Linked DNA regions of Rattus norvegicus. The protein of the gene in region 1 interacts with the protein of each later gene in a pairwise test. Links are inferred from orthologs where the notes say so. Each region holds a gene or a part of one and is shown on either strand. Other genes may lie near its edges. The genes, in order: Uba3, Impa2 and Cpne2.

The links.
Region 2: the proteins of Uba3 (region 1) and Impa2 interact in binary tests that used the Homo sapiens proteins (3 or more experiments, as listed by UniProt). The two-hybrid records come from large-scale screens. The link is inferred for Rattus norvegicus from reciprocal best matches to the Homo sapiens genes UBA3 and IMPA2.
Region 3: the proteins of Uba3 (region 1) and Cpne2 interact in binary tests that used the Homo sapiens proteins (3 or more experiments, as listed by UniProt). The two-hybrid records come from large-scale screens. The link is inferred for Rattus norvegicus from reciprocal best matches to the Homo sapiens genes UBA3 and CPNE2.

What each region holds. Positions count from the first base shown.
Region 1 is NC_086022.1:131,345,329-131,354,570, forward strand, and holds the end of Uba3 (NEDD8-activating enzyme E1 catalytic subunit), read right to left. Parts: coding exon 9,201-9,242; intron 8,228-9,200; coding exon 8,163-8,227; intron 7,892-8,162; coding exon 7,736-7,891; intron 6,420-7,735; coding exon 6,317-6,419; intron 6,222-6,316; coding exon 6,108-6,221; intron 3,664-6,107; coding exon 3,610-3,663; intron 3,173-3,609; coding exon 3,136-3,172; intron 3,051-3,135; coding exon 2,969-3,050; intron 2,669-2,968; coding exon 2,568-2,668; intron 2,464-2,567; coding exon 2,400-2,463; intron 2,316-2,399; coding exon 2,261-2,315; intron 1,754-2,260; coding exon 1,668-1,753; 3' UTR 891-1,667; downstream 1-890. UniProt on the Homo sapiens protein: Catalytic subunit of the dimeric UBA3-NAE1 E1 enzyme. E1 activates NEDD8 by first adenylating its C-terminal glycine residue with ATP, thereafter linking this residue to the side chain of the catalytic cysteine, yielding a NEDD8-UBA3 thioester and free AMP.
Region 2 is NC_086036.1:63,120,235-63,130,701, forward strand, and holds part of Impa2 (inositol monophosphatase 2), read left to right. Parts: intron 1-2,771; coding exon 2,772-2,876; intron 2,877-5,288; coding exon 5,289-5,334; intron 5,335-6,928; coding exon 6,929-7,037; intron 7,038-10,467. UniProt on the Homo sapiens protein: Phosphatase that can use myo-inositol monophosphates, myo-inositol 1,4-diphosphate, scyllo-inositol-1,4-diphosphate, glucose-1-phosphate, beta-glycerophosphate and 2'-AMP as substrates in vitro.
Region 3 is NC_086037.1:10,436,389-10,446,855, forward strand, and holds the end of Cpne2 (copine-2), read right to left. Parts: intron 10,049-10,467; exon of another isoform or gene 5,847-10,048; intron 5,758-5,846; coding exon 5,521-5,757; intron 4,408-5,520; coding exon 4,300-4,407; 3' UTR 3,857-4,299; downstream 1-3,856.

The DNA.
Region 1 (9,242 bases):
AGTAGAGAAAGAGGCAGGGGAAGAGGGTCACAAGTTAAAACCAGCTTAGACTACACAATGAGACCTTATCTTATTTAAAAAAAAAAAAAAAAAAAGAAAAGAAAGAAAAGAAAAGAAAAGAAAGGAAGAAAAAGAGCCTTATTGGAGATACAGCTTAGTAATGGAATACTGGCCTAGTACAAGGCTCTAAATCTGATACTAGAAGAACCATAAAGAAAAAACTGTGTTGGGGTTGGGGATTTAGCTCAGTGGTAGAGCAAACGTTTGCCTAGCAAGCGCAAGGCCCTGGGTTCGGACCCCAGCTCCGGACCCCAGCTCCGGGAAAAAAAAAAAAAAGAAAAAGAAAAACTGTGTTAACTCTGTAGCATTTTGGGTAAAGCATAGAACTGTACCCTATGTGGTTTTATAATGAACTGAATTTGTCAGTAGGTAGCTAGAAACTAGGGTATAGCTCTGTAATGGAGCATTTCACTACATGGGGGAGGTCCCAGGTTATATTCCTGCACCATCCCCACACCAGAAAGAAACAAGACAGAGACAGATTCCACCCACTAAAAAATTGCAACTAAAAATGAAAATTAGGTTCTATTTGTTCCCACATTAAAACATTACAACTATATATTTTTAGTATTTGTGATCCACTTTGATTTTAACATTTTTGAAGAAAAAAAAAGGCATGTTAAGAAAGAAACTTTACGATAAAAATTAAGTCTCCATTTCATTTACCAATGAGAACGAATGAACCTAGTCTGTACTATGGAAATTACTACAGTAAATTTTTAAAAATTTAACTCAGGTGAATTAAAAGTCTGGTAATAATAACTATTAAACATTTAAAAATTATTTCTACATCACTATAAAATTATTTACTATTATTGATATACTTTAAATTTTTCAATAAAAAGTAGACAATGTACAATTTTATTAATAAATAGTGCAAAAGCATCAATGATAACTGTTGAAACATTAATTTCTTTGAACAGCCATGTCTTGGTTTAAATTTGTGCATACTGGTCTCTGTGGCATTGCAAATAAATACATGAAAATATTTTGTATTTTCATGCACAGGTATGACTCTATAATACTGTTTACAAATTATCATGGACAAGTTAAACTCTGCAATAATTAATACACACATGGACAGTCACAATTATATGAGTAGTAATGAAGAAATTGCCTATGTTTGATATCTCTAGATGTCAGGTTGTAAATATTTAATGTTCTTAAGACATAATTCCTCATTTCCATTCAAGAATACATTTCTATACAGGTGGATGCTCAAATGCAAGCTGAGGAATATGTTGTTTGACCATAACAAACTCACACAAAAAGACAGTGTTTGTCCTGCTTTAAAGAAGCAGGACATTTGTTCATAATCTTTCCTGGAGGCATGGTTTTCAATATTACTAAAATGAAAATGCTTACTAGCCCAACCCAGAAGTTCAGTCTTCAAGAGAAACTTATAAAGTTAAAAAAGAGTCATTCATTTTTTATATATATGTATATATAAAAAGTCAAATTCTAGCCACACTAATGCTAAAAATGACATCAATTAAATTTCCTTTCTTGGGTGTTCCCCTCTGCCTCATCTTCCCGGCTCTTCAATTGCATAACATTTATAAAGCATATTATTTCTATGAATTCTATTATGTGCAGATTTATTTTCCTTAAGTAAAATGAAGTTTGAATAGTACAGTTTGTGGTGTGGTGACGTCAGCAACAGCCAGTTCTTGTCCATCAACTAGTCCCAGTTCTAAAATAGAAAATTGTCATTAGACCAAGGTAAATAAATACCTCAACAACAACAAAAATGACACAAACACACAAATTATAGCTTTATAGTTCAGATACGTTTTTAAATTTGATTTCTTGGAGTTTTAATTTTTTCTATTAAAAGAGCCATCAACTCTATAATTTTTAGAGATATAAATAATTACAATTTGGTCATATTTAATTAGGAGTGAACCTAAGTTCAAAGCCAGACTGGGCTACAAGCAAGTTCAAGGCTAAAGACACACAAACGCATCCTATCTCCAAACACTGAGGGCTGAGGAAACAGCCAGCGCAGGGATAAGGCCCGTGCCAGCCAGCAAGGGTTGCCTGATTATGATCCCTGGTACTGAGCACAGACAGACACCACCCCCACCACACACACACACACCCACAAAGGGGGGAGGGAGGGAGGGAGGGAAGGAGGGAGAGATAGCAGACATTTACTAAAAAAGAAAATTATGTTAGGGTATACATTTACTTAAAATACCTTTTAATGTTTTGGAAAGATTCGGTCTCGTTCGTTCTTCAATAGACGTTACTGACTGGAGAACAACATTATTTTAATGCATAGCACATAAGAAAAAAAAACACAATTTTCTTCAAAAACATTAATGAATACTACTGACCTGTAAATAAAGTGTCCTGTTTTTCCCCTCTAATGTGGCTGTAATAGCTGGAGACTTCATTTGCCTAAAATAAAGTGGCAAACACCATCTTATTTAAAGAAAATAGTTCTCGCTTTGTTACTGTAAAGTTTAAAACTGACTTTTACAATATAAACACTCAGCACTTACAGAGAAGCACTATTGGTTAGATAGTCTAACACCTCTTGCAGTTTAGCTGATGGGGAGAACTGGATGTTTTGAGGAAGCTGGCTACACGCAGGGCAGTTCTCCTGCAAACGTAAAAGAGTCACACTGTCTCAGTCTCTTTTTAAGCAGACATGGAAATCGAGTTATTTTACAATCATGCATGTTTCCTATGAAAATACTTTTTGCTTTAAAGCCTATTTTGTAATAGATTATTTGTTCTAAATTCTTATGCTTTACAGCATCTAAGCTATCTAACAAAAGATACATATTATGTATTAGCTTTAGTAACTCACAGCATAATTATCTTCTAATTCCTAATAACTAATATATAAAAGCAAAGATTGTATAGTGAAGAATATTTTTATTACTTTAATGCTACTAACCTTTCTCTCTGCTTCAAATGTGTAAGTGTACAGTCCATCTACATCATTGAATACTAAGTAATTATTAAGGGGAATGTACGCACTGTAATGAAAAAAAAGTTCATTTTATCTAATTGAGCAAGGTTATAAGGAGGATTTCTACACATATTAAAAATAAAACTCATTACCTTGTAGCTATCTTGAAAACCTCAGTGGCACACACAGCTAGAGAAAAAAATAAAGGCATTTGAATTCAGTAAAAATTACGTACTTTGAAAGTCAGTTGTAAATCAGGTAAAATTGTAATTTGAATAGAAAATGGATTTTAAAATACACAACTTTAAAAACATAGGAAGGAACAAGTTTTGTATTTGTTTTATATGATCTAAACAATACAACTTTTCCTTCATCTCATCAGATCAATGAAAAGCTAACCCTATGAGTAAAAAGACATGCTAAAACATTCCTTTACTGTGAGCACTTTGTCTAAGAGAAACATAAGGTCCTGTAAGACATAATGAAACAAAAAATACAGAGGAAACAGGAGCAACCCACCCAAGAAGATATCAAATTCCTAGAACGCAAGTAACTACAGAAATGTCAATTTAGACATTAAGTCAGAATCAAAGCAAAAAGTAAAACTGAAAGTCTTTTTCCCTTACCTGCAATGACTGCATTTGTAGAAGCTACTGCGGGAATGATTCGTTTTACTACCCCTGAAAAATTTGCCAAATAAAATATGGTCATTGTTTTTTTTTCTTCAAGATTTTTAATCAGGTGTAGGGGAACACATGTGTGTGTGTGTGTGTGTGTGTGTACTGCACACGTGTACATGTGAACATGGAAGTGGAGGGGTCCTCAGAATCCAGAAGCTTGCCTGGCCTCCTGAAGCTGGAGTTAGAGGTAGTTATGAATAATAAGCCAGCTAAGCCATCTCTCTAGCTCTGTGTTTTTTAAAAAAGAAAAGTCACTTTAAGTTAAAATCATGTAATTAAGACATTTAAAGTCTCGATTATGAAATACCATTTTCTGATTTTTCAGGCATTCAAATCAAGAGATAAAGTTGGGCATAGCCAGGCATGGTGGTGGGAAGCCGAAAAGACCCTATCTCCAAAAAAAAAAAAAGCAGACACCTTTAAACATGAACTATCATCTTTAATTCTTAACAGCCTTAGTGTGTTGAAACATTAAGCAACAGTACTGAAACGAAGTCTCTGTAGTTTTCCATAAGGACAAAGCAAAAACATAATAACAATAGTGTTTCCTTATACTACAAATATAGTGCGAATACTAAATATTATTTAATGTTACTGACATGGTGATGGTAGTCTCACCATCCTTGTTCTAAAAAGAAAGGAGACGAGGCTGAGAAATTAAATATGATACCCACAACATTACTCCTAGCAAGTACAGAAATGGGCTGTGCCCATACATGCCCACCCCACACAGTCTTATACATAGTACTAGACTCTGAAATGTCTTAATAAGTATAAACGAAGTTTCCTAATGATTCTTGATATAGTTAATTCAAGTCATTCCATTCACAAAATGTCACAATAGAAAAAAATACAACAACCTTTTAAAAGTATCTTTCTTTTACACTACCAACAGGACCACACAGGACAAAGCACAACTCTCTAGTTTGACTGATTCTAACTTTTCACTTCCATATTCATGTAAGCTATGAACAAACCATCTTCCATAATAAAAAAGGAAGACTCGGTCTTCCAACTGCACTTGAATCACTCACTCTAGAGAAACCACGTGAACCTGGAGGTGAGGCAGCACTACCAGATGTGTTCCCAGCATTCCAGCAGGAGGAGCACAAGTAGACGAACATGAGGAAACAGGCAGTAGGCATGAACTGAATTTAAGGGGTAATACCAGAACGAGTAAAGAAAACAGTCACAGAAAAGAAATGACAAATTTGAAAAAAGAACAGACAACTCTTTCTAGAGACTATGGCAAAACTCCAAAAGAGAAGAACTATAACAAGACTGAACACTGGTCACCCAGGCTGAGCAGGACTGTTCACTGTGAGCCCAGGCTAGAGGAGGCACCTTCACGGACTCTGACTGACCCAGCAACCAGAAAATGGGAACACAGAACAACCAGGCTTTGGGGGAGCATCTGGAAAGGTCTTTCATGGTATCTTTGTGAAGACAGTAAAGAAGTCTGAGAGACTCAAGAAGATCTGACAACAGATTGAGACAAATCTAAAAAGGCTGCTAAGACCCTTGGTTTGATCTCCAGGACTAATACAAAATTTAATAAACAACCTCCAGAATATTGTTTTTGTGAGAAAGGGGATATGGGGAGGGAGAAACGGGGAAAGGAAGGCCTAACCACTAGATCTGTGAAAAGATATGCAAATTTTAATGAGTAGCGATGAATGTGAAGAGAGTATTAAATGCAAAAAGGGTTCGGCTCCCAATGCCCATATGCAGCTCAGATCTTTCTATAACTCCAGTTCCAGGGGACGCATGCCTTCTTCTACACTCTGCAGGCACCAGGCATGCATGCATGAGATGCACATATATACAAACAGACAAAATAGTCACATAAAAATTTTAAAATAAAAGAAAAAAGCAATTAGATTATGTAAGATACTGGCCAAAACTCAAACTGAAGAAGACACAGCTAGAGTAACTACTTGACAATCTTTCAACAGCTCTCCTAGAGGATAAACTCCTCGTCAGTGAAGATGAAGTGAACAAGTTAGACTTTGAAGATAAGGGCTCTTTCAGTTGTACAATTGTATAAAAATATGAATCAGTGGCACCATTCAATCTCCACTAGCTGAATAGCATGTATTCTCCAGAACACGGTTAGCTACTACCTTGGAATAACTGGAAAAACACTGCTTCCATAGTTCTTCAATTAGACTGCAGATGGATGGTGATGTCTTAATTACATATCAAGCATTCTTGCCATAGAGAAGTGATTCTCAACTTTCCTAATCCTGCAACCATTTAATACAGTCCTTCATGTTGTGGTGACCCCCAACCATAAAATTATTTTGTTGCTACTTTATTGACTGTAATTTTGCTATTGTTATGAATCATAACGTAAATATCTGATACAGATGGTGTTAGGAACAAATCACTGCCATAGAGTATTTCCCTACCAATCCCACAACTATGACAGTTCACTAACTCACCTTGAGTGAGTCTGTAGGTAACACCTCTAATATTATATTGTGATGCTCTCTCTACAGACTTTTGGAAAATCCACTGAATATGTTCAGGGTCATCTCCGTCTAATGGAACCCCATCTGTTGTGGGGCAGACAAACATAAGGTAATTTTTAAATGTAATTTCAAAATGAGTAATATATAAAATACTTTTTAAGTCTAGATTGTTAAATTACCTCCAAAAGGCTGCTCTTTAGGCCACTGCAACATCCTTACATACTCGATACAGTGCTCTGGGAGCCTGGGCATAGATGCAATGGTACACATGGGGAAATTGACCTAAAAGCGCAAAATTTGTCTTTCTTAGTAAAATTTAAATTATGAGCTATTTTAAAAATGCAACGTCTAGTTCAGGTTTAGTTCATAGCATTCATCTCAGCTCTTCACTATAGGGCACGAAGACTTGTATACTAACAGGAGGCATCAGAGTCTCTCAGGGCTGCCCTGCCTGTAAAGACAGACACATGTGTCCTACATTTTTAGAGCTCTGTTGGCAATGAAAAGAAAAGTACTAAATAAATTCTGAAATGGAAGGGATTTAGTTTTACCTGTATTCAATGTAAAGGTATAATGCAAACTAGCACAAAAGCACAGAATTCAACCAACTGTAAGTTAATACTCATAGAGCTGCTAATGTTTACAAATCAAAACTGCAACCATCCTTTAAAGTGAGTGTGTATGCTATAGAGCTCCATTTTGACAAGATCATTCTTAATCCTAAACTCTTTATCACAATTACTTTGCATGTATGTGCCTGTGAGCACATGCTAGAGTGTACATATGACAGTCAGAAGACTTTTAGCTCCACCATGGGTGTCCTAAGATTAACTCAGCGTCTTTATCGGCTAAGTCACCTAACCAGCCTTTTGCCTAGGAGTTGTGGTCTCTGTAATAACTTCAGTAGACCTTCCTTCCTCATGAAAGATATGCTCTAAGAGTCCAACAAATATCTGAACCCTATGTATATACATTTCACCTTAAGTTTAAATTAAAGGAAAGTATATGAAGAAAACAGACAGAATGTAACTTATCCCAACATATAACTTCGTAATTTCTCTTAAATTAAAAAAAGTAAGGAGCTGGAGCTCAGTGGTTTAAGAGCGGACACTTCTCTCTCAGAAGAACTGAGTTTGGTTCCCAGCACTATGTCAGGCATCTCACACCAGCCTGTTACTCTAGCTACAGAGGAATCTGTCACCTCTGGTGTCCAGGACCACTGTACTCACATACCTACACACTTACACATACACACATAATTAAAACAAAAACACACTTAGCAAAATACCAATTAAAAAAAGTACTAATACAAAACCACAAAAGCAGATCTGATATATATCATCTTCTCTCAAACACAGAAGACTATCATATTTTATTCGTCTAAGCAAATTTTGTTTTAAATTTTGCTCTTGTTTTGAGGCTGAAGTCCACTAGTTTGAGCCCATGCTGTCATTATGGTAAATACGAACCTATACCCTTAAATGATATATTTAAACACTTATCCTCAATTACAAACCCTAGACACTGACCAGATGTTATTCCAACACTAATTACCACCCAAGATACTAAGAAAGAGAGGTAGGAACTTTTCTGATTACCTGTGGTGGGTAAAGTTCCAGAGTGCACTCAATACAAGCGGTCATTCCAGGCAAAATCACTCGGGCATTCCCTTTAAAGCCTTCTGTGCCCCCATCTATCAAAGGTACGATGGAGCTTGGATCCAACACACCATCTTCATAATTTAGAAGAGATATCTAGGGAAATGTTTTAAAGGTCTTAAAAAAGAATAGGAAGTGGAAAAAAAAAAAAAAGCAACCGCAGCAGTGTATTTCTAGCAAATTCTAGAAGTTAGTTTGGGACTCAGTAGCAATCTATCAGAATGAACTACATTCCTAACAATAAACACATTTCATTGAAAATCAATGAAAGCAGTAACAATGTGTATAGCTACTCAATTTAAAATTAAACCAACGGTTCTGATTTGAAGCAAAGACCTTTAGAGAACCCGAACGATGAAGTGTTTACCAGCATTCCATTGATCCATCTCCTGGCTATGATAGAGTCCAGGCCACATACGATAATATGAAATTCTACAAGAAAAAAAAGCCACATGTAATTTTTAATATAGTCTATGTAGTCTAGGCAAGTCTCAAATTCTCTATCCTCTTGCTTCAGCCTCCATAGTGCTGGCCCCACCACACACACTAGGTCGGTCACTAGTGCTTACAAACACACACACTACTATACCAGTGCCCTAACAGGGGTTCATGGAGTGTTAACAATCTATCACTGCCAGTGGACTACTAGAAAGGAAAGTTTGCAGTGGAAATTTAGTAGTATCTGGTATGAACATCAGAATGAAGCAACTGCTTTTAGACATTCTTGGGCTTCAAAGAAGCCACTGTGATAGGTAGTGATTGTTTCCTGTGATTTGTTTGTCTGAAGGAGCTTCATAGACTCTGCATGATCTTAGTCACAGACGCTCTTAGCAAACCAGAAAGTCTTGCACTAGTGAGCACTGCAAATAGCACAGGAGGCTGCAGAGGTGATGATATGCTCCTTCGCAAAACACACGCATTATATCGGGGGCTCTGGTGTGAGGAACTTGCCTCACTCAAAGGCTAGCAGTCAACAGATATGCTTCTGAAAGGCTGCTTGGGCTTCAGTCCATTGAGGGCGACCCCCTGCTTTCTCAAGGCTTCACGGCATCTGCATGTCTCTCTTCCATCATCCCACATAACTCAGATTAACAAGGGCCGTCTGTGTGATGGGACAGAAAACGCTACTTTCCACCCACTTTTGCTGTGACTCTAAAACTGCTTTGAACACAGTTTACCAATTAAAATAAAGGCAGTTATGCAACGTAATTACTTTGTTTAAAAAAAAAACATTTTATTAGAAGCTCCCCACCCTCCTAATCCTTTAGTAACTCTTAATTCAAGCAAGCAGCTAGTGGGATCTACTAAGAATCAGTACTGTGGTGTTTCAAGTACCCAGAATGAGGTAAAACAAAACAACAAACTGGAGAAATTAGTAAGAACTTAGTATTAATAAAGAACTTACGTCGGTAGAAAGTGTCGTTAAAATCTTGAATCTTGTTGAAAT
Region 2 (10,467 bases), on another chromosome or scaffold:
TAGTGGCTTAATCCCTGGAAGCTCTGGTTGGTTGGCATTGGAGGTAGGACCTTCTTAATGTGTTCTCGAACCATTTGCCGATACTTTGTTGTGAATGTATGCATCTTGTAGTGTTGGTTTTTTAAGTCTTTATCCAGTGTGGGTATTTAGATACTACTGTATTTAATTATTTAGATAATATTGACTTGGTAGAATGAATTTGGTAGCGGTCGGTCTCTCTCTGCTCTGTTAGAATAGTTGAAAAGTGCTGTCATTAGGTCTTCCTTAAAGGTTTAGTGGTATTCAGTAGTGGATTCGTCCAATCCTGGACTTGTGGAAAACTGCTTCAATCTCATTGTCTGCCTGTGTGAACTGTTTATATCTTCTGGGTTTAATTTGGGCAGGTCTATAATTAGAAAATTTGTGAGTTTCTTTTAGATGAAAATCTGGAATATTCTGTGGTCTCCTGGATTTTACTGGAATCTGTTCTAACAACTCTTTTTTCATCTCTAGTCTTATTAATTTGCATTTCTTCCTTTTGCTTGGATAGGCGCTTGTCAGTTTTGTTAATCTTCTTTAAAGTGGGGCTGGGGATTTAGCTCAGTGGTAGAGTGCTTACCTAGGAAGCACAAGGCCCTGGGTTCGGTCCCCAGCTCCGGAAAAAAAGAACCAAAAAGAAAAAAAAAAAAGTTAAAGAACTAGCTGTCTGTTTGGTTCTGTGTTTTCTCCTTGTCTCTTTCACCCACTCTGGTGACTTATAGTCATCAATACCCTCCTGAGTGATCCATACAAGATGGCGAGGTTGTCTGAAGCTGGGGAAAAGTCACTCAGTATGCCCTGCTGCCTTCTGCCCCCTTCTGCCCCCTCGAGGTCATGGTAGCCTGTGCCCTGTGGTGTGTTCAGCACAGAGCCATCCATGTCTGTTGGACGCTTAAGTCGGTCAGGACATAAAGCAGCATCCTTGACATAGGAAAGCCCTTCCCTGCCACCCAAGCTGGACATTCGTGTCCATTCTCTTCCTGCTGGGCTTCACCCTGTGGGCCAGCTGGTGGATGCAGAGCTGCAGCTTGGGAAGGGAGGACCTCGTGGTATCAATCAGCTCCTTCATGGACTGAAGAGACAGTCGTGACTGACGTAACACCACACTCAAGTGCCAGAAGAGAAGAAAGTCTCAGAAGCAGCCAATGGTCGAAGTCACATGGGGAACTTGTTACCTCTTGACTTGAGGTGTGTCTTTTCACCATTTTTATCTGCCTGGTCCTCCATTCAAGGGTGCTTTGGCACCCATTCCTTGTGTTTTTAAGAGTTCAGTGTGTTTTGAGGGGCCTAGAAAGATGATTCATTGGCTAAGAACAACAGCATTGGCTGCTCTTCCAGAAGACCTAGGTTCAATTCCCAGAACCCACATGGCAGCTCACAACTGTCTGTAACTCTAGTTCCAGGGGACCCAACACCCTCACATAGATATATATGTAGGCAAAACACCAGTACATATAAAATAAATAAGTCTTTAAAAAAATAGAGTATGGTTTGTTTTCGTTGAAAAAAATTTTTTTAAAAAGTGACTCTAGGACACTTTAGGAATATCAAGTACCTTCAGAAGACAGTTCTGGGAATGGTATGACTCTTAAGTCTTTGTCCTATGGCCAAGCATTTGTCACATTTAGTGTCACCTAAGAGGGCCCCTTCTCTCTGAGCCTACATGTGGGTAGAAAAGAAGTAGAAGGAGCTTCCCTACCTTTGGCCTGGGCAGCTGGTGCTTGTTGGCCCCATTTGTACTAATGACATCCCCTTCTGTGGTGGTTTGAATACGCTTGGCCCATGGGAAGTGGCACTATTAGGAGGTGCGGCCTTGCTGGAAAAAGCCTATCACTGTGTAGGCGGGCTCTTTGCAGGCTCCTAGTGCTCAAGCTCCACCCAGTGCTGACGAGAAAGCCTCCTCCTGGCTCCTTCAGGTCAAGGTGTAGACCTCTCAGCTCCTCCTCCAGTACCATGTCTGCCTGGTTGCCACCATGATGATAATGGACTGAACCACTGAAACTGTAAGCCAGCTCCAATTAAATGTTGTTCTTCACAAGAGTAGCCTTGGTCACGGCAACAAGAATCCTAACTAAGACACCTGCAAATATTCAGCTTAAGGTTTTGTCTCCTAGTAGGATAGAGATCACACTCCTGAGGAAAGTTAAGGGAGCCTTATTTACATAGGGCCTTATAACAAAGGAGGGGCCAGCCCAGAGCCCCCTTATCAAGAACCTCTGATCTGGAGACAGCCAGAGTGGCCCTGAAGGAGCATGTCAAGGTGACACTATGAGGACAGGGTCTGCTTTGACACTGAGGACAAGGGGGGCATGAAGCATCCTGCTAACTCTACTGCTCCCTTGTCCAGCTCTTATTTTCTCCCAAAGGGGAGCAGAGACCAAGGAGGGAAGAGTAAAGGGTCCAAGTGGGGAAGGGAGATGTAGGTGACCGTTTCCCTTCTACGGTCCAGGTTCTGCTCTGCACACTAGCAAGACCTCTTGGGCCTCTGCTGCCTCCCCTCCATCTGTAGCTCCATGCTGAACTGGGAACCAAGTTTTGCTTGCCTCTGTGCTCTTTCAGGTGCTCTGCACTCCCGCATCTCTGCCTGGCCTGCTCCATTTCCCCTGTGTGCCTCCAAAACTGCAGCTGTGAGAGTCAGTCTGGTGTGGGGGGTGTTTTGGTACTGGGGCTGGAACCCAGAGCCTTGTGCCTGCTACATACGCTCGTCTGCTGAGTGTTGGACTTGACTCAGGCTGAGCCCCCTGCCCCAGCAGGTTCATTGCAGAAGAGGCCACAGCCTCCGGGGCCAAGTGTGTGCTCACCCACAGCCCGACCTGGATCATCGACCCCATCGACGGCACCTGCAACTTTGTGCACAGGTAAGCAGGAGCTGGGAAACATGAAGTTACGGGGCTCTGTGGGACCCCTAGGTTTTCTTTACAATAGCATAAGCATCTAAAATACTTACGTAATGTAAAATATTGTAAAATATTGAAATTTCTAGTCTTGTTAAGAGGAAATCAGAACTTGATATTTTTAAAAGGTTTTCTATTTATGACTCTAAAGAATATGTAAGGAAAATCTGTCTTAGAAAAATTTTTGGCAAGGCATGTTGGCACGTGGCTTTTAATTTTAGTATTTGGGAAACAGAGGTAGGTAGATTTCTGAGTTCCAAGTCAGCTAGGTCCATACAGTAAGACCTTGTGTGTGTTCGTGTATGTGTGTGCATGTGTGTGTGTGTATGTGTGTGCATGTGTGTGCGTGTGTGTGTGTGTGTATGTGTACATGTGTGCGTGTGTGTATGTGTACTGTGTGTGTGTGTGTGTGTGTGTGTGTGTGTGTTATGTGTGTGTGTTGTAGGGGGTGACTACTTATGGTGGCGAGCACCTGTAATCCCAGCATTTGAGAGGTGGAGATAAGAAAGTCAGAAGTTCAAGGCCAGCTTGAGCTATGTTTTGGGGGATTCTTTATTTCTTTAAGTGTTTTTGGTTACTCCTGACCTATAGCACAAAGGCCAAGATAGGATCACAAGTTTGAGATCAATTTTCCCTATACTTAAATATTTTACTATACTTTAAAAACTGGAAACATAATTGCCTAAGAATGAAGCTCATTTGGGAGACTGTTTACAGCTGTAAGACACTGAATTCCATTGTGTTGCGGCTCCTTTAAGAAGTTGCCCCTAGAAAACAGGTAGAGTTGGAGCAGGAATCCTGGGCCTCAGGTACAGAACCAAGACATGCCAGTGAGATTTGAGAAGTCATTCTCTCAGGAGCCAACCTTGTGGCTGCAGATAGGGCTTACAGGAGTAAGCCTGAAGGCCTACCAGTCCCTAACGGTGACAGGTATGAGAGCTATGTATACTTGCTGAAAGGCACGTAAAAGGAGCCAAAGACCCAGCCACACAATAGGCATCATGGCTTCCCTGGGGGCGGGGGGGGGGTGTTAGCTTGCTGTTCTCTGCAGATATTTCTATGCTGCGAGCACTTCCCCACTCATACTCAAAAGTTACTATAGGGCACGTTGAGGAAGTAACGTGAGCAGAGCTGGGTGTGGGGCGCCTAGCTCTCTGGCCTCCGTGCTGTGCTTATCTGCTGAGTAGCACACGGTAAGCATGACCACTGTAGTGCCCGTTGCCTTGAGAACCCAGTCGTGCATGAACAAGGGGACCCTTTTGATGCTTCGGAGCAGTGCCATCTGCTGCCACCAGGCCGTCACTTCACGCTTCGCTAAGTGAGGCGCCTTTCACCTCTGAACCGTTTGTCACCCAAGGTGGTCATAACGGGGATGCAGCGGCTACACCACATTCCAGCTAAAGGCCACGATGGTTCGTGCTAAGGTGTCCCAGGGCTCTGGTGTCCTTGGGATCTACAGTACTTCCTGATCTGCAGCCCTCAGGGAAATCCGGGCTGGAAAGAATGTCCTCTGAGAAACAGGCTCTAATATTGACCTGACAGTTCCAGTATATCCAGGCCACAGCTGGGCCTGAGACCTGAGCCATTAGAAAGGCTGCGGTGCTGGGCCACAGCCAATGAGGCTGAGGAAAAGCTGAGAGATGCCTGCCTTAGGACGCGCGCAGGGAGACTCGGCCCGGCCTTTGAGGGTTTCTGCACAGGGTTCTGCCCACTCGTGGTCTGGGTTGGTATTTTCCCCAGCCAGTTCACAGTACTTGGTCTTTCCTGGCCCCTTCCTGTTTTTTAAGTCTCACAAAGGAGAGACTATTTTGAAACACAGCAACAAACTGGCGAAACTAAAACCATGGTCAAGCTGTGGCATCAGAACCATCCCTCTACCGCTGGCTCACCCTGCTGTTGCCTTCTGGGAGCTCAAACCGGAGACGGGATGGGGATATTATTGGCATTGTCGAAAGGTCACATCTGTGTGGTGGCTGCAGTCCAGGGTCTGTGATATCATCTACTGGGCCCTCCACATACATTCTGAATTTGGGGTTGGTCTTTTGCGAATTCTCTACCTGCTTAGGTTGCTGAGAACCAGGACTGTGGTTATTATAGTCATGTTGATTAGTATTATGTGGTCGCTGTTAAGTTGCCTCAGTCTTACCACGGCTCCCAGAGCGCTACGGTTGCTTTAAGTTCGCTATTTTACAGCATGGCGAGCTGAGCCTGTTTATTTTGGAAGCAGTAAGTGAAACTGGAAAGTCATTTTGAAAATCAAACCTAGCCAGAGTGCCGAAAGGTCCTTGTGGGGCGGGAGGGAAGCCTTCACACAGCTACACACAAGAGCTTTTGAGAGCCAGTGTTCTATGTAACCCATTCTGCCTTCCCTCACAGATTCCCCACTGTGGCAGTTAGCATCGGATTTGCTGTTCACCAGGAGGTAATGCGGCCCTCCTTGCCTGGTTTCAGTTTCTGTGTTGCTCTTTGACACTTACCGTAACCGTGACTAGTGTGTCGGGGTGTGGGTTTGGGTCTTATGTCTCCTGGGGTGGACTGGCTCTTTTTTTTTTTTTTTTTCTTCTTCCGTGGTCCAGTCATAGCTGCTGTGGAAAGCAATGTTCTGAGCAGATGGCCCGATGAGTCTCCATCTGACCCCTAGAGCGTGTGATCTAGTCACAGACAAAAGACAACTCCTATTTTTGGATGACATCTCAATATTTCATTAATTCTTCTTTTCCTCCTGGCTATTAGTATGAGAATGTGGCCCTATCAGGATTCCCAGGGACTTTCTGGACTAAGCCATGGCGTGAGACCTAAAAGAAAGGCAGACAGAGGGCGAAGGCTTATGCAGGAAGACAAGAGCCTTCATTTCTTGTAGTCATATGAGCAGAGTTGGGGTACAATGTCTCCTACAACTGCCCCCATTCAGAGCAGTGTAGCAATATCGACGAATGTTCCTCTCATGGGGACAGTAAGTTTGCATTATACCTCAGGGTATATACTTTTGGTATATTGGTAAAACTTTTCAATATTGCCAGTTGGGTAAGGAATTGATGATCCATCGGTTTCTTTGCATCATCACAGAGATCTGTTAACATTAATGCTCTCCTAACCACCAGGTTATTATAATAGGAGTCAGGGCTGCCAGGAAAGAAAACTGGGGCCACAAAGCTCAGACAGGTCCTTGTCCTGGCTGGGCCGTCCTATTCTGTCCTGCGTTTCTAGTTCCAGAGCACAGGAATACTTCTAATCAGTCATGGTCCAATCCAGGAATCAACTCTCCCTTCCCCACAGCTCACTGGACATTCCCCTTGATAATGGGGCCTCATCACAGGTGACCACACAATACGGTGACGCCTAGATCTGGATATCATGTTGGGGCCAGGGGTGGGGGTAGGTGTAGGGCAGGTAAGTATTGCTAGAGAACCACGGACTGTCGGGAAGCCCCTTCCAGAAATACAACTTGTTCTATAGGCTGAGTGGCGAAGATTCTAAGGGCTGCCTAAGACTCTGCTAAGGCACTGAAGATGACCACCCTGAAGATGGGCATATGGTACCAAGCACAGACACATATTCACCCCAGGGTTGTGAGAAGCAGGCAGAGAGAGACAGGAGTGCTGGACACAAGGCTTATCGCTTCCATATTGACCTCTTCCTCCTGCTAGCCAGTGGTCATGCCCCTGGGGATGTCTGTGGGTTCTTTACTTACCAGTAACGTGGAGGATACCTAAGAGTTGTTTTTTTTTTTTTTTTTATTCAGTCACAATTATGGGTGGAGAGGGGAGAGAGTTCATTACGATAATTTTAATACTCTTATTAGTATTAATATAGTTTTGATATGTTCGTTTATGAAACAGCTCGCTTTCATGACCAGAAGTAGTTCGAAGTCTGCCTGTCTCCATTCCTCTTTGGAAGACAATTCTGTCCCCTTGTCACAGTGCTAGTTCCTGCTCTAAGAGGAGTGTCCCTCTTTAGATCACTGTTGCCTTTGTGTCAAGAAGTGACGTTGTCCACTTTCTTCCTGCCCCCTCTAGCTGGAATTCGGAGTGATTCACCACTGCACAGAGGAGCGGCTGTACACCGGCAGGAGGGGCCAGGGCGCCTTTTGCAATGGCCAGAGGCTCCAGGTCTCCAGGGAGACAGGTGAGCTTCATCCAGCTCTTTTTGGGTCGTTTCAGATAGAGCTAGATGCCCAGGGACTATTACACATAGTGGTGGCCATCTTCTTCTTCTTTTTTTTTTTAATTTTATTTTATTTTATTTTTTAAAGATTTATTCATTTATTATATATAAGTACACTGTAGCTGTCTTCACACACACCAGAAGAGGGCATCGGATCTCTTTACAGATGGCTATGAGCCACCATGTGGTTGCTGGGAATTGAACTCATGACCTCTGGAAGAGCAGTCAGGTGCTCTTAACCGCTGAGCCATCTCTCCAGCCCTGGTGGCCATCTTCTACAGAGAGTGCTAGCTCTTTTTTAGGAATACAGTGTCCCTAGTGGAAATCGACAACATTTATTCTGTGTAGGTGCTCAATACTTTGAATACATTATCAGAGCCTCTTGTATCTATTGTCTTTAAAATGGTAGTTACTGGTGAACAGTTTGGTCTGGTGGGACCAAGAGAGCGGCTTAGACCAAGGGCCCGCAGAGCATCCAGGCACAACTTGGTGGGGGACCCATGACCACAGCATGTATCTGGTCTCTGACCTTGCTGTTGGAAGCGGAAGCACGGTGGAGAGGAACAGTGTTTGAACGTGCCCCGGGGCCTGCCACCAGGATTATGTCTGTCCTTTGTTTTCCTTAAATGTAGAGGTCTAAGGACATTGTTTGCTTGCAGGAGGTAGCCCATGGAATGGCACACCGAGGGTGTTCTCTCTCCTCCACCCTTTAACCCACAATGATTAAACTAGTAGTTTGTTTTTGGTTTGTTTGTTTTTTTATCGGGTATAGGATAGGTGTGGTAGGCAACAGATAAAGCCAGGGTTTTTTGTGTATGTTGGCCAAGGTGGAGACATGGTAGTGAACAGAGTCAGGGAAGAAAAGGGATCCTAGAAGAGCAGCCAGCCGTGGAAGAGGAAGACTTTCAAAGCCCCTGAGTGGCCACGTAATTGAGTTTGGAAAGGCAGTGAGGATGGGAGCGAAGCTGGCCGTGGAGTGGCTCCCCTAGCATCCCCTAGTTCCTTCTGCAACTCTGAGCAGGACACGGACGGCAATTGCAGCCTCTGCTCTTTACGTGTCAGAGGCCGCATATCATAACGTGTCCCAGCCTCAGTCCCTGCTTTCTGTTGGCTGACACTGGCCTCAGTCCCAAGATGTCAGCACTTGACTCTCAGCCCGTCTACTTTCTTTACCAGCCATTTCTCTGTGCCTGTTGTTGGTTTATCTTTTCACAGTTCCTTCCTCTCATCTCCCTCCTGGGTAGCTTCCTGGTTAACACTGGCATGCTGAGCCAGCCTGTGAGCATCTAGCTTACTGTGTGAAGGCACAGTGTGGATGTGCTCATAGGCCCGTGGGGAGGAGAGGTTGCTGGTGAGAGTCCCGCATGGACCCAGATCGGGGGGCTAGAACTCACAGGAGCCCTGTGAGATACCCCAGCAGGACGATTGGCAAACCAGCGCTCTGAGCCCGGAGCGGGCCAGGAAAAGCACCTTGCCCCATTTCTCCTTCTGCCAGAGTGTTTAGTTTGGCTGTGGAGTGATGTTAATTCCAGCCATGCTGGCAAAAGGCATCCATCCAAGCCTAGCTGGGAAAGGCAGGGAGGAAGCCAGCCATTAAACATGCCTGGGTGAACTTTGCTCCAGTTTTCATTTGATAGGACACTAAACTATTCACACGCCCGCTTCCTGGTTGACTGCCTTCACAGCTCAGTCAGGTGGTGACGGCTCGCTCTGATGGCTCCACCCACCTTTGCTGTGCTTGCTCCTAACCCCAGAAGGGCGAGACTTGGCCTGACTTCCCTCTGCTGGGCCCCAGGAAACACCCAGAGCAGAAAGAAGCTGCTTGCTGTCTCTAAAGCTCCTGCCCCTACTGGTTACCTGCCTCCCTTCTGCCTCCTCGCACTGCCACGCTATGTCCTTACCTCACCAAAGCACGGTTGTGACTTGGAGTCCGGGTGGTGAGCTGTTCTCACCTCTGGTCACAGATGTCAGAGTGCTCGCACTGGCTTCAGGTCCCCACTCTGATGCCTGAGGCTGTACATAGAGCAGGCAGCATCTGGTGGAAAATAATTAGTTACAAAGGTGGGACGTGGTCTTGTAGGACTATAATCCAGTACTTGGGAGACAGAGGCAGGTGATCTCTGTGAGTTCAAAGCCATCCCAATCTGCATGGTGAACCCCAGGACTGCCAGAGCTGTATACTAGAGAGACAATGTCTCAAAAAACAATCAGCTGGGAGTGTTGCACGCCTCTAATCCCAGCACTTGGGAGGCAGAAGAGGGCGCTTTCTGTGAATTCAAGGTCAGTCTGGTCTACAAAGTGAAGGCAGGACAGTCGGGGTTCTGCTATGCAAAGAAACCCTGTCTTTAAAAAAAAAAAAGAAAAGAAAGTGTGCTCTGATTGTATAGGTGGCAGGGGTGTGGTGCTGTGTGCTTATAATCCCAGCACATGGTGGGTGGAAGCAGGAGACCTCGAGTCTTTAACTGTTGGAAAACATACAAGTTTTCCAAAGTTCTCTTAATTTTTGAAATGGGCTCTCACTGATAGACCAGGCCAACCCTGAGCTGGTAGCGTCCTCTCTCTCTGCCTCTTCCGTGTCGGGTCACAGGCATGCACTGCCTCCCCTGACACAAGTTCTCTCAGGTTGTAAGCCCCACTTGAGTTTATGTCTGGTGGCACTGGTAACAGAAGTGGCAGGCTCACTTTTTCTTTCTCACTTCCAAACACTCAAGGCCTAACAATCTTAGTTTATCAAAATCCTTTGGCTACCTGTTTCCTTACTGTAAAGGTTATTTCCAAAGAAAAAAATACACACACACACACACACACACACACACACACACACACACACAAATTCAAGATTAATGCATTTGATGATGTTCATAGCTTCCTAATTGGGAAGGACATCTGCTGCCAGTGACTTACATAGGAACTTCCTGCCTATTAGCGCCAGCTGGGATGGTGACATCACCGGTTACCTTGCTGGAGACACCACCACCTCCCATTGTTACTGTTGTTTTCTGGATGTGCAGGGCAGTGAGGATTGATACATTGTATCTTGATTTAATGGGGGAAGTGCTCCTAATAGAGCTGCCCAGGGGAAGCAATGAAGGTCGAGGGTCGCACTTGTGATGAGAGTAGAATCCTAGTTGACATCTCAGGGCAGAATCATGGGAACCGTGCCCCGATTCCTGTGTTCTCTACAGATTATCATTGTTCTTGCTACTTGTCACCTCTTCTTGTGTAGAATCTCTAAAATGTCCCTGCCATGTGCTGGCAGAGTTGGTGAACAGTAAACTGTTCAAAAGATGGATTTTCTTTTTACGACTGGATCTCACTGTGTAACCCGTTCTGGCCTTAAAACCCCAATCTTCCTGCCTCACCTTCTGAGAACTGAGATTACAAAAGGGCA
Region 3 (10,467 bases), on another chromosome or scaffold:
CCTGGGCTATGAGCAGCCAAAAGCAGCAGGCTCTTGCCTTTTTTTGTCTCATAGAGGGAGGGAGGGAAGGACAGAGGGAGGGCGGAAGGGAGATAAGAAGGGAATAGGTATGCAGGGCTTAGGGGTTAGGAGAAAGGTCTGTGTGTCCTGCTTCAGAATGAGCCTGAGAGGTTCTCTTCTCGCTGGTCTCAGCATCCATTGTTTTTTCCCTTCCTATGGGTGTGAGACGAGCGAGACACTGAATGTGTTGGCACTGAAATACTGGCAGGCAGAGGAAGCTCCTCAGTTTTAACGTGGGCAGAGAGGGCCCTGGATCTCATCCAGCCCTTCCTTTCCCCTTCCAGTGTATTGACACTGGTGCCTACCAGCAGATGGTGGTTTTCCTCCACCATCGTCGATGCCTGTGAGCATCCTTTGCAGAGCCTCCCAGTACTAATCTTTTCTGACTGTCAGTGCAGGCCTGTCAGCTCCCTCCTGACGAACAAGACATTTAGGTAAAACTGCAAGCACCTTCTGCCTCTTTGTATCATTGTTCCTACGACTGTGCTGTCATTCTCGAAGCTCGTTCCTGTATCCAGAGCAACCCTGAGCCATTTCAGGAGGCAGACCAAGACATCAAAGTCATCAGCATCACATAGCTTGACTTTTCAGACCAACTGGTCTACCTCATGGCCTCCTGATGTTGAAAAGAAGACGGCAGGGTTGCAGGGTTTAAAACTGTCCATTAACTTTAGTTTTTAGCCCTGTCAAGCTAGCTCTTGCCCTGTGCCACATGAGCTTACAGCCCTCTCATCACTTGAAGCTGATTGCGGAGCAGTGTGTAGCCCAAGCTGGCTTACAAATTCACCATCCTTTCACTTCAGCTTCCTGAATGCTAGGATCACTGGTGAGTGCCGCTGCACCCAACCGCGATGTCACTTTTGGTCCTTCTGGTGGCCTTTTTACCAGAGTTCATTGTGCCTCCATGGTGTAGGGGCCTGTAATCGAAGCACCACTTCCATGGCAAAGCAGGCCAACCAAGGGAAGCAGCTATGGTTTCCTCCCACAGAAGAACAGAATGAGCAGAGAGAGATAGAAGAAAATCCCACCTTGACCCTCAGAACACAGTCATTTGTGTACCTTGGCAGGTCTCTCCGGGGGAGTCAGATTAATCAGGGACCAAAAATACTTGAAGGAAAGATTCTCTCTGTACTGACCGTATATAGACTTTTCTTATTCCCTACAAATAACACTGAGTACAACAACTTGTAGCATATCACGGTCCAGACATCGTAAATTGTTGTAAGTTGAGTAAGCTAGGAATGACTGAAAGTCTAGGGAGATGCATGAGTAGGCTCTGTGCAGACAGCATTCCACAGACAGCTCTTGAGCATCTGCAGACATTGACCTCTGAGGAGGGTCTATGGACCAGTCCCACCAGACGTGCTCCTGCCTGCATTACTAGACTTGTTTCTTTGAACCTTGTACATTATCTTGGGTGGCAGAATTCCTGGGATTCTGAGACCTCTTGGGGAAAGCCCCAGCGATCTGTTGCCAGCTCTACCTGGGAGACAGTGAACTGTCTTGAGTTGTATTAGTATTGCCCATGCCCTTCCTGTCTCTTCCTGACATTTGTCTACCTGAAGCCATTCACATGGGTGGGGAGGAAAGAGACCTGAAATTCAGGTCACCTATTTCTCTATAAAAAGCTGGGAGGCTGATATGACTGGACCTAGACAGGTAGCTGACTTCCTGCCTTGCACAGAGGTCTCAGGACCCAGCAGAGAGAAAGATTCTCATGCACGAGCACCCACTACTCAGTAAGGTACCTTGTTAGAGCCCCTCCCCTCTTTTTGTTTTGTTTTGCTTCCCTTTTGGCCAGCTCCTCACTTAAGGAAAAAGCTTGGTTTGCCTGAACCAGCCCCTTGAGAACTGCATCTGTCCACCCTGCATAGATATGCCGTAGTGATCTCATGACAGCCAGACAAGGCCCTTCACCTAGGAAACACGAAAAATACCAACTTGCTATGGTCATATGTAAACCATCTAGATTAGAAGCCTCCCAGGTCTGGTCGGGTATCTAGAGTGTATTAATACGCTGCACACAGATTTGTACAGTGCTGGCATCCCCACTTGTAACTAGAACACGGACATGTTGGAAGGGTCAGATCTGGTTGTCCACTCCGCCAGCTTCTGCCTTAGCTCCAGTTAGCTAAATGTTAATTGCTTACACACTCCGGATTCTTTGGCTCAAATGTCCTTGCCGTGGGTATGTGACTCAGCTGTTATCTTAGGCCCCTCCAGGAAAGGAAGGAGAGCTCAGTGGTAGTGAACAGTTACTTGGACTCCTGGCAGCCAATGGAATACAAGTACTCGGTGCGTGATGCTCAACTGGCATCACAGTCAGCCCTAATGACTGTCAGGGGCTGGCATTGTTCCCCTACCTGCTGGGGGAGTAGTTTCAGAGGGAGTCGGAATAGCATTAACGGTCCTGGCCCCAGCAGCAGAAGAGACACAGAAAGGCCTCATGGGAGACCGGCTTCTCTTGTTTCTGTGACACCACTGAGGCCTGCTCTGTACAGATCAAGCAGCTGGGGGACATGCTGAATTGTTTTAGTGGATTTGTTTTTCATTCTGAAAAAGCACTCTGAAGCCAGCCCTTCTATACATTCTATAGAGGAACCCCAAATTCCCAGAGGCCCAGTGACTCGCCTGGGCTGCCCTGCTATATGACAGAATCAGATTTGTATTTATGCCTAAAGGCTGTCTTTCTTGCACACTCTCTCTCTCTCTCTCTCTCTCTCTCTCTCTCTCTCTCTCTCTGTGTGTGTGTGTGTGTGTGTGTGTGTGTGTGTGTGTGTGTGTGTGTGTGTGTGTGTGTGTTTGAGACTGACTCCAACACTACACAGTCACCTACCTGGATATATCCGCTAGACTCCCTTGTTGGCTAAACCGGTTAGTGGCTGGATGTGGTAACATACATCTTTAGTCTTAGCTACCAGAAGATAGAAATAGGATGATCTTTGTGAGTTCAAGGCCAGCCTGGTCTACATGGTGAGTTCTAGGGCAGCCAGAGCTATATACTGAGATCTTGTCTCAAAAAACAAAAGCATTTGGTGGCCACAGAAGTGTGCTCCTCATTTCTACCACATACACTGTGGCTCCTGAGATTGGGATCTGCCCAGTGCTGACCAACTCCAGCATCTAGGAAGGACTGCCCTGGAGGAGAAGGCAGAGAAGGCTTAGTGTCCACAGAACAGGGTAAGGTCATTAGCAGCTTGAGTGGAAAAGCCCCTCGGAGATGCTGAGGGTGGTAGGATATGCATGCACAGTGGTCCACCACACTCCCATCTGCCTTCTGTCTGTTTAGTAGGCCTGCTGTGTTTCCCTGTTTCTGCAAGATCATGGGAGGGCTGTGGAAGGTTCGATGCTGGTGCAGGGAGCTAGACACGTGGTACAAAGTAGAAATGTTCACTGTTCCAGTTGCATGTCTGCTTGTCAGAAGACTGAGAACTCCTCATCAATAGAGTACGGGTGTGGAGGAGAAGGACTGAGGAGGAGGTCTGGGGCCAGTCTCATGAAGAGGAGGTGTGTGCTAAGAGGAACATGCAGCAGGAACAGACATGACCTCGTTTAGGGTCCTGACACCGAAGACATTGCCTACTACATCCGGGGGAGAAAGTGGGCACTTCTGGATGCTGTGTCCTGCGCCAGTGTCACGGGAATCACTGCTGGCGACAGGGAATGCATGTCCCCATGAGGAAGTGATCACACTGACCCTTCAAAAAGGGGGCGGGGATGAGGGTCTTCCTAATGGTTTTCTTTTCCAAATCAGTGAGTGCCCATTGACCCTCACTAAGGAAGGAGCTTGACAGGCAACATCTGAAACTCCTTTATTACCCTGAGTTTGACAAGTAGAACATAGTCACAGTATAAAAACAGCAGACCACCATACAAAGTACACAGTAGGGATACATTCCTTCTTGCAGCTAGTTACTTAGAAAAAGCCGGTTACGATTGTAAAAATTTTATTCTCTTTGATAACAATAATTCCACTAAAATTATACAAAGTACATTCAATACTTAGAGTGGCAGGAGGGCGGGGTGAGGGAGTTGTTTTGTCCTGGAAGCATCATCATTGACTCTGACAAAGGGAGCCCATATGGGCTGGGGAAGTTGGGGTGGAGGTCCAGTTGTAAAAAATAAAAATGTGGACTGGTTTAAAAAAAAAAAAAAGGCCACCCACGAGGAAGCAGGGTGAACGTGCATGTTCCTGGGGAGGCTGGGGGCTCAGCTGGCATGCTGTGGCTGGTCCCGCGCTCAGGCAGGCTCCGAGTTGGTGGGGGGCAGGTTTTTATGCTTGAAATACTGCACTACCTGCTGAGGAAGCTCTGCAAGCACCGCTTTAGCCAGCGTTTCTTTGGCTGCCTGTGGGATGGATCCAGGTGGGGAGAAACAGGAAAGAGGAGGAGGATCAATGAGCAGGTGAGAGATTCACCATCCCAGAGCTGTGATAACAGGGCTTGAGGGCCAGGGCCCTCTGAAATGAGTGGGCCTCAGCTCAGCCCGAATGCTAATCCCACCACTAGCAGTGACTTCCTTGTCACTTCTCGGGATGGGGAAAAGACCTTAGGGGATGAATTTGGGGGGGAAGAAGTGGTGTTTTAGCTTCCTCAACCTGAGGCTTTTCCTGACCAACAGTCAGTCTGTGAGAAGCATCAGTGAATGCAGCCAGCCTCAGGAAAGTGTCAAGTCACTGTCCCATATAGCAACAGATGACCAACGAATGCCCCACATTTGTTCTAGGAAGCCAAAAAGCGGGACAAAACCATCCTAGGCAGAGACGTGGTGGGCACTGGGCCACCATTTGCCAAGGCTGGATCCCAGGATTTAAGCCTGACGAACCCATAGGCTTTAGCTGAGGGAACTGAGGCTCAGGAAACTCATAGCCTTCCTAAGGCTGGGCAATGTGTTACTGATCCCACAGGAGTCAGAACCTAGGCTGGCCTTACACAGATGCCACCCAAAAGTCCTGGATCCATCCAAGAGACAGAGCATCTCATGGTCATTCTGCTAACCCTGGCCAGCTGCTCAAAGTTCACTCAGCAAGGCCAGAGACACTTTCAGGAAGAGGCTGGCCACCACTGTATATCATATCATCCCCACATTTGGGGGAAGAAAGCCAGGCTAACAGGAGGGTTTCTCGGCTTTTGTTTTCCCATCTGCAGAGTAAGGGTAGAGGAAAGGGCAGGAAGCTTCAGTTCTCCCACCTCAGCCTGCCTCAGTGTTCTGGGTAATCTTAACCCAGGACACTACCTAGAGCCATAATCTGGATTAGCCCCCACTCCTGGGTTCCTTTGACTTGTGGAAAGAAGTGGTGACAGTGTCACAGTGGCCTTATCTTGGGCAAGGTGACAGCGCCTAACTCACCGTGGGCCCTCAGAAGCTCACAGTACAGGGGGAGGAATCTGAGAGGGACCAGTGAGCTCTGCTGGAGACCCTGCAGCCACTCTCCCCCTCCCCACCAGGGCCCACACTCACATTGCGGAACTCTCGGAAGGGCACGAACTGCACAATGTCCCGGGCTGCCTCCTCGCCTGTATGTGAGCGCAGTCTACGGTTGTCCCCATCTAGAAACTCCATGGCTGCAAAGTCAGCATTGCCCACACCCACAATGATAATGGACATGGGCAGCTTGGAGGCCTGCACTACGGCGTGCCGTGTCTCCTCCATGTCACTGATGACCCCGTCAGTGATGATGAGGAGGATGAAGTACTGCTGTAAGGGAAGAGTGAGGCAAGTGATGAGTGTGAGAGCAGCCTCGCCCCTCCCCTCCCCTCCAAATCCTCAAGGCAAACTGCCCACACCTTGGACATCTCTGACTGGCCCGTTCTGAAGCTGGGCCCCGGGCTCTGCCAGTTACTGTGAGCACAGCTTTGGCCACTAAGACTTAATCTGCCGAGTTTCTGTTTCATCACCTTTAAACTGAGAGTTACTAAGCTCAGAGCTGACGTGCCAGCCGCCTGACAAGCCCAGGCTTGCACAGCAACACAGTCTAGCCTACAGCCTCTACGGCTGGCCTACCTCCCCTGTCTTTGTGGGCAGGAATACTCGTTCACTGTTAGCTCCATACTTGGCATGGAAGGAGACACCTGCAGGGGCTAAGCTCAGGTCACGTGGTCCGTCACTTCTGAGGTGGATCCCGGTCATGGCTAGGCTGCAGGGCTGTCACACTTAGGGCAGGAGTAGGTAGGTAGTCAGTGGTCACCCTGCCTAGGAGGCAGCTTTGGTGTAGACTGGTATCAGGTCTCCAGCTTTCACTGACCCCCCTCATCAACAGAAGGTAGGAAGTTCATAGGCTGCAGATAGAGCCTAACACCACTGCCCTGTGTCTCCCTGTTACCCTCTATTTATGACAAATGACACCAAACTTTCATTAGCAAGATGCTTTTCTTTAGGAATTATTTCAGGTAAAATGCATTGAATAATGAACATGAGCTGCCTAAGGATAAAGTGCACACCGGATGACTTGATGTGGAGAAGGGAGGTGACTGACAGGAAACCGTCAGGGCAATCCAGAGGTGGCCAGCCCTTTACTTTCACCCCAGGGCTGTCCTGACCTACTGTGGCCCTGTTCAGAAGAATCCAGTGTTCTGTCCTATCCACAAGATAAACACAGGAACCTTGTGCTGATTTACCATTGGGGGTGTCCGCCTTCTAATTCTGTCCTCTGACCACTAGTTGCCAAAGGGATGTCATGAAGCTAAGGGAAGGCCACCTTTGTGACCCTGGTGGGCCTGAAGCTACCTTCTCCACGGTCAAGACTGTGCAGCTTGTGGACAATACAAACCCAGCCTCCAGAATACCCCATCCTCTTCTGTTCCAAAGTACAAGGTCAGGTCAAGATATGGTGGGCTTGTGCAAACACTGGCTTCACCCTCCACACCCCAGCTCTAATGCTGTGCCTTTAAGAGACCAATCCCCTGGCTGGGGATACTTGTTGCCATGGAGATGGAGCCTGAACCCAGCGGTAGAGAGCTGCTGCTGGCAGCCCCTAGCCCTGGTTTTACCAATCCATCCAGACCCTTCCCTAGCCAGCTTTTATCCACATTAACTCCACCCACCCGGCAGTTCGGGGCAATATTCCTGGGACTTCGGCTGGCAGAGAGAAGGGCAGGAAGAAGCCTGACACTGAGGAAAGATTTAATTGGCTGCTCAGTCAAAGGTAGCGCTTGTCTGCAAGCTCCATTCAGCTCAGACATGTGCCCCCACCTCCCTGTGGTCGTCCTTCCTTGTTGTAGCCTGCTGCCTTCCTTCCGGGGGGATGTGAATGCAGAAATACAGAGCCTGGGTCCCTGCAAGGCTGCAGGTGGAGCGGGAAGGACAAAGGGGTGCCTGAAAACAGAAGACCTTTAGCAGACAACCTAACTGCCAGTCTGGCTTAGAGGCCATCCGATGGCTCAGAGAGCTTTCACAACCTGCTAAGGTCCCGTAACAGGTAACTGGCAGGTTCTAGGTTCGTGCCCAAATCTGCCTGACTACAAAGTGCCATGCTGTCCTCTGCCACCCACTGCATGGGTGGCTGGTCGCTGTGAGCCTGGCAGGAAAAGCTCCCTTGTCACCCGTTAACCTGGAGTGAGTCTGAACGAACAGAATAGTGGTCTAGGCAAAGTCCAGAGCCCTAGCTATAGCCCTCACTCCTGGGTGCCACAGCCAGCTTGCTCAAAGCCATGGCCGTCAAAAACCAAAGCTTCGAAGATCCACCACTACACCCAGAGCCCCCAGAGCAAATCAGAAGGGCTGTGGAGGGCAAGAGCGGAGGGTGGAAAGGGACTCCGAAGCCCTGGTGTCCCTACTGTGCTGTCCCTCCGCACACACCTTCCCTACACCCTAGGTGCTCCTGACAGCCCAGCCCACATTGCAGGTCAGGGGCTTGGCTCTCCATCTAGGTCTCAGGAACCAAGTCCCAGCTTTTTCAAAGAGCAGAGCATCTCTTGCCAATTCCAGGCCTGCCTCACGGGGCTAGGACTGCACAGCTACACCTCCCACGGCACGAATGACTGGAAGAAACTGGCCTGACCCCACGGTTTAGGCAGCGTGGGGAAGCTGCACTCACCTCCGGGTAATTTCTGAAAAGCTGGCTGCTGAGGGCTGAGATGGGGCTTGCTACTTGTACTCCAGCAAGGCCACTTTCAGGTCATCAGGTCACTCAAACCTGCTTGTTACCCCACCCCTACCCCCACCTCCGGTGGCTTCCCACTACCTTCGGGAGGAAACCTAGAGTGTCTGACGGCTCTCAAGGTCCTGTGGGAGATAGTGAGCTTTCTGAGTCTCGCCAACTCCGTCACAATCTCCTTACACACGACTCTATCAGTTATACCCACACACCAAGACCCACCCCCCACTCTTAAGAATCTCTCAAGTGTAAGCCTGGATATCCCCTTCTAAGCACCACCCCTTCCTTGTGCCCACTGTCGCTTAGGTGCCACCTGTGCAATCCTGGACTGTAACCATCACAGGCAGACATTCCTGCATCGGCCTCCCAGCTAACTCCCCTAAAAGCTGAATCTCACTCATCCAAGTGTCCTTGGGGCTGCCCAGAAAGGCTCAGAAAAGGCCCGAGGAAGAAATAATGAATGGAAGGTGCTAGAGACACCACTGCCTGCTCTCTGTGTCCTGTACGTGGGTGTGTGCTCTGTGTGCATACGTGAGGGGATGTGGAAGGCAAAGCCACATTACATCCCCCAACACCAAAACATGGCCAACCAGAAGCATTGGTTAATCCCCCAATTACTTCTATCGGCTGCGGGTCTCCCTGGGCACAGCGCTACCAGATGCTAGCCTGAGAGATGTCCGTGCCTGTCCCTACAACCGACCTGTCTTACGTGCCAGGCTCTAGACTGAACAGCGCACGCGCCCATTTGGGTGACTCTCTGCAGCACTCAGAGATGGGAATGCTGTTGTACAGGGGAGAAAAACCAAAATTCAGAGTGTTAAACTACCTGTTCTAGTAACACAACCAGGGAGTGGGGGAGATGGGGCTCGAACCAGGTCCTTTCAGCTTGAGGTTGAGCCACCCCGCAGCTCCACTCGCCTCCTCTGGTGGAGAGGGTCAGGGTATGTGGTAGAAAAGTCTGTATCTACTCCTGGATCTCGGAGTGGAAGCGGTGGCCGAGACCCCAGGCTCTACTCTCACAGCTGAAGTCCAAGGCCTCGGAGGTAATAGCTTAGGCTGGGAAGCCAGAGGTGGCTTAGAGTTGCAAGTAAAACCAAATCTACCAGGGTTGATCCCAGAAGGGTCTCAAACGGTGTCTGGGCCCAGGTCTCAAGTCCTTTTGCTCAGAACGAAGGTGAGGTTCTCCTTACTGGTAAAGGGACGGGGGGTGGACAAGGCCGCTGCAAATCAGGAGTTCCCCAGTCATGAAGGCACTTGTTTCCAGACCCCACTTCCTGCCTAGTTGACCCCTGGCTGGCAGCAGGTACAGCATGAGACAGGGGCCTGGCACACTGCTAGAATGTGCTCATGTCCCTGCCCAGACGGTTTCTCCTGAGTGGGAAATCGGGCCTATTTTCAAGGATTCATGCAGCCAACAACTTTGCTGGCACTGAACTTGGTATTCTTTCAATGGGCAGTGAAGCTGAAGGCTGCCCTTTTACTCGGCCCTACCCAAGCTATCGAATCTCAGCAACCTCAGGAACCAGAGAACAACAAAACTATCCCTGCCCGGCCTCACGCACCAGAGTTTCTATCCATTCTGTCCATCCCATTTTGCATCAACATGGGGGTCAGTGTTCCCACTGCACTGGAGGAAATGGGCTTAAAGGAAAGCAGGAACCTGAGTTCTCAGCTGCTTCAGTCAGGGGTCATTTACTTTACTGCACAGCACAGCCCCTTCCCGGCTGACCGTACCTCAGTATTCTTCCTAATTTCCAGGGACACGGTGCCCTGAACTCCACTGTCTGTCCTCCAAGGCCTTTGGGGGTGGGTACAACAGGATTATCAAATGCTAACCTCCTCAGGCAGTCAGGCACGTTCCCTCATGACACAAGCTGGACACGCTGATCTTCTCTGGGCACACATAAAGAGATGTCAAGCACGTGACTACAGCGGGCTCCTTCTCTGCCGTCAAGACAATTAGGACAGACCTGGACCTTCCCAGCACCAGCCCTAGGCCCTCTCCTTTCTCATTCCCTCCCCTTCCTTTTCTCTCTGCTGCTACTTCAGGGACATCAGCCTCTGCTTCCCCAGTGACAGGCACCTCCCTCCTCTGAACAAGCCCACAGTGGTCCCCTTATTCATGGTGCAGAGCCTTCCCTTTGGGATAGGCAGTGACATGGTCTCACTGACCTAACCCCATCTATTCATAGAGCACCGTGTTCCTGTCATCCACCAAGTACTGTGCCAGGCTAACAGTCTATAGTAAGCTGAGTACAGAAAGCCCTGGACCATGTGGCCAAGAGGCTGCTAACTTGTAACAGAGGCAAGAA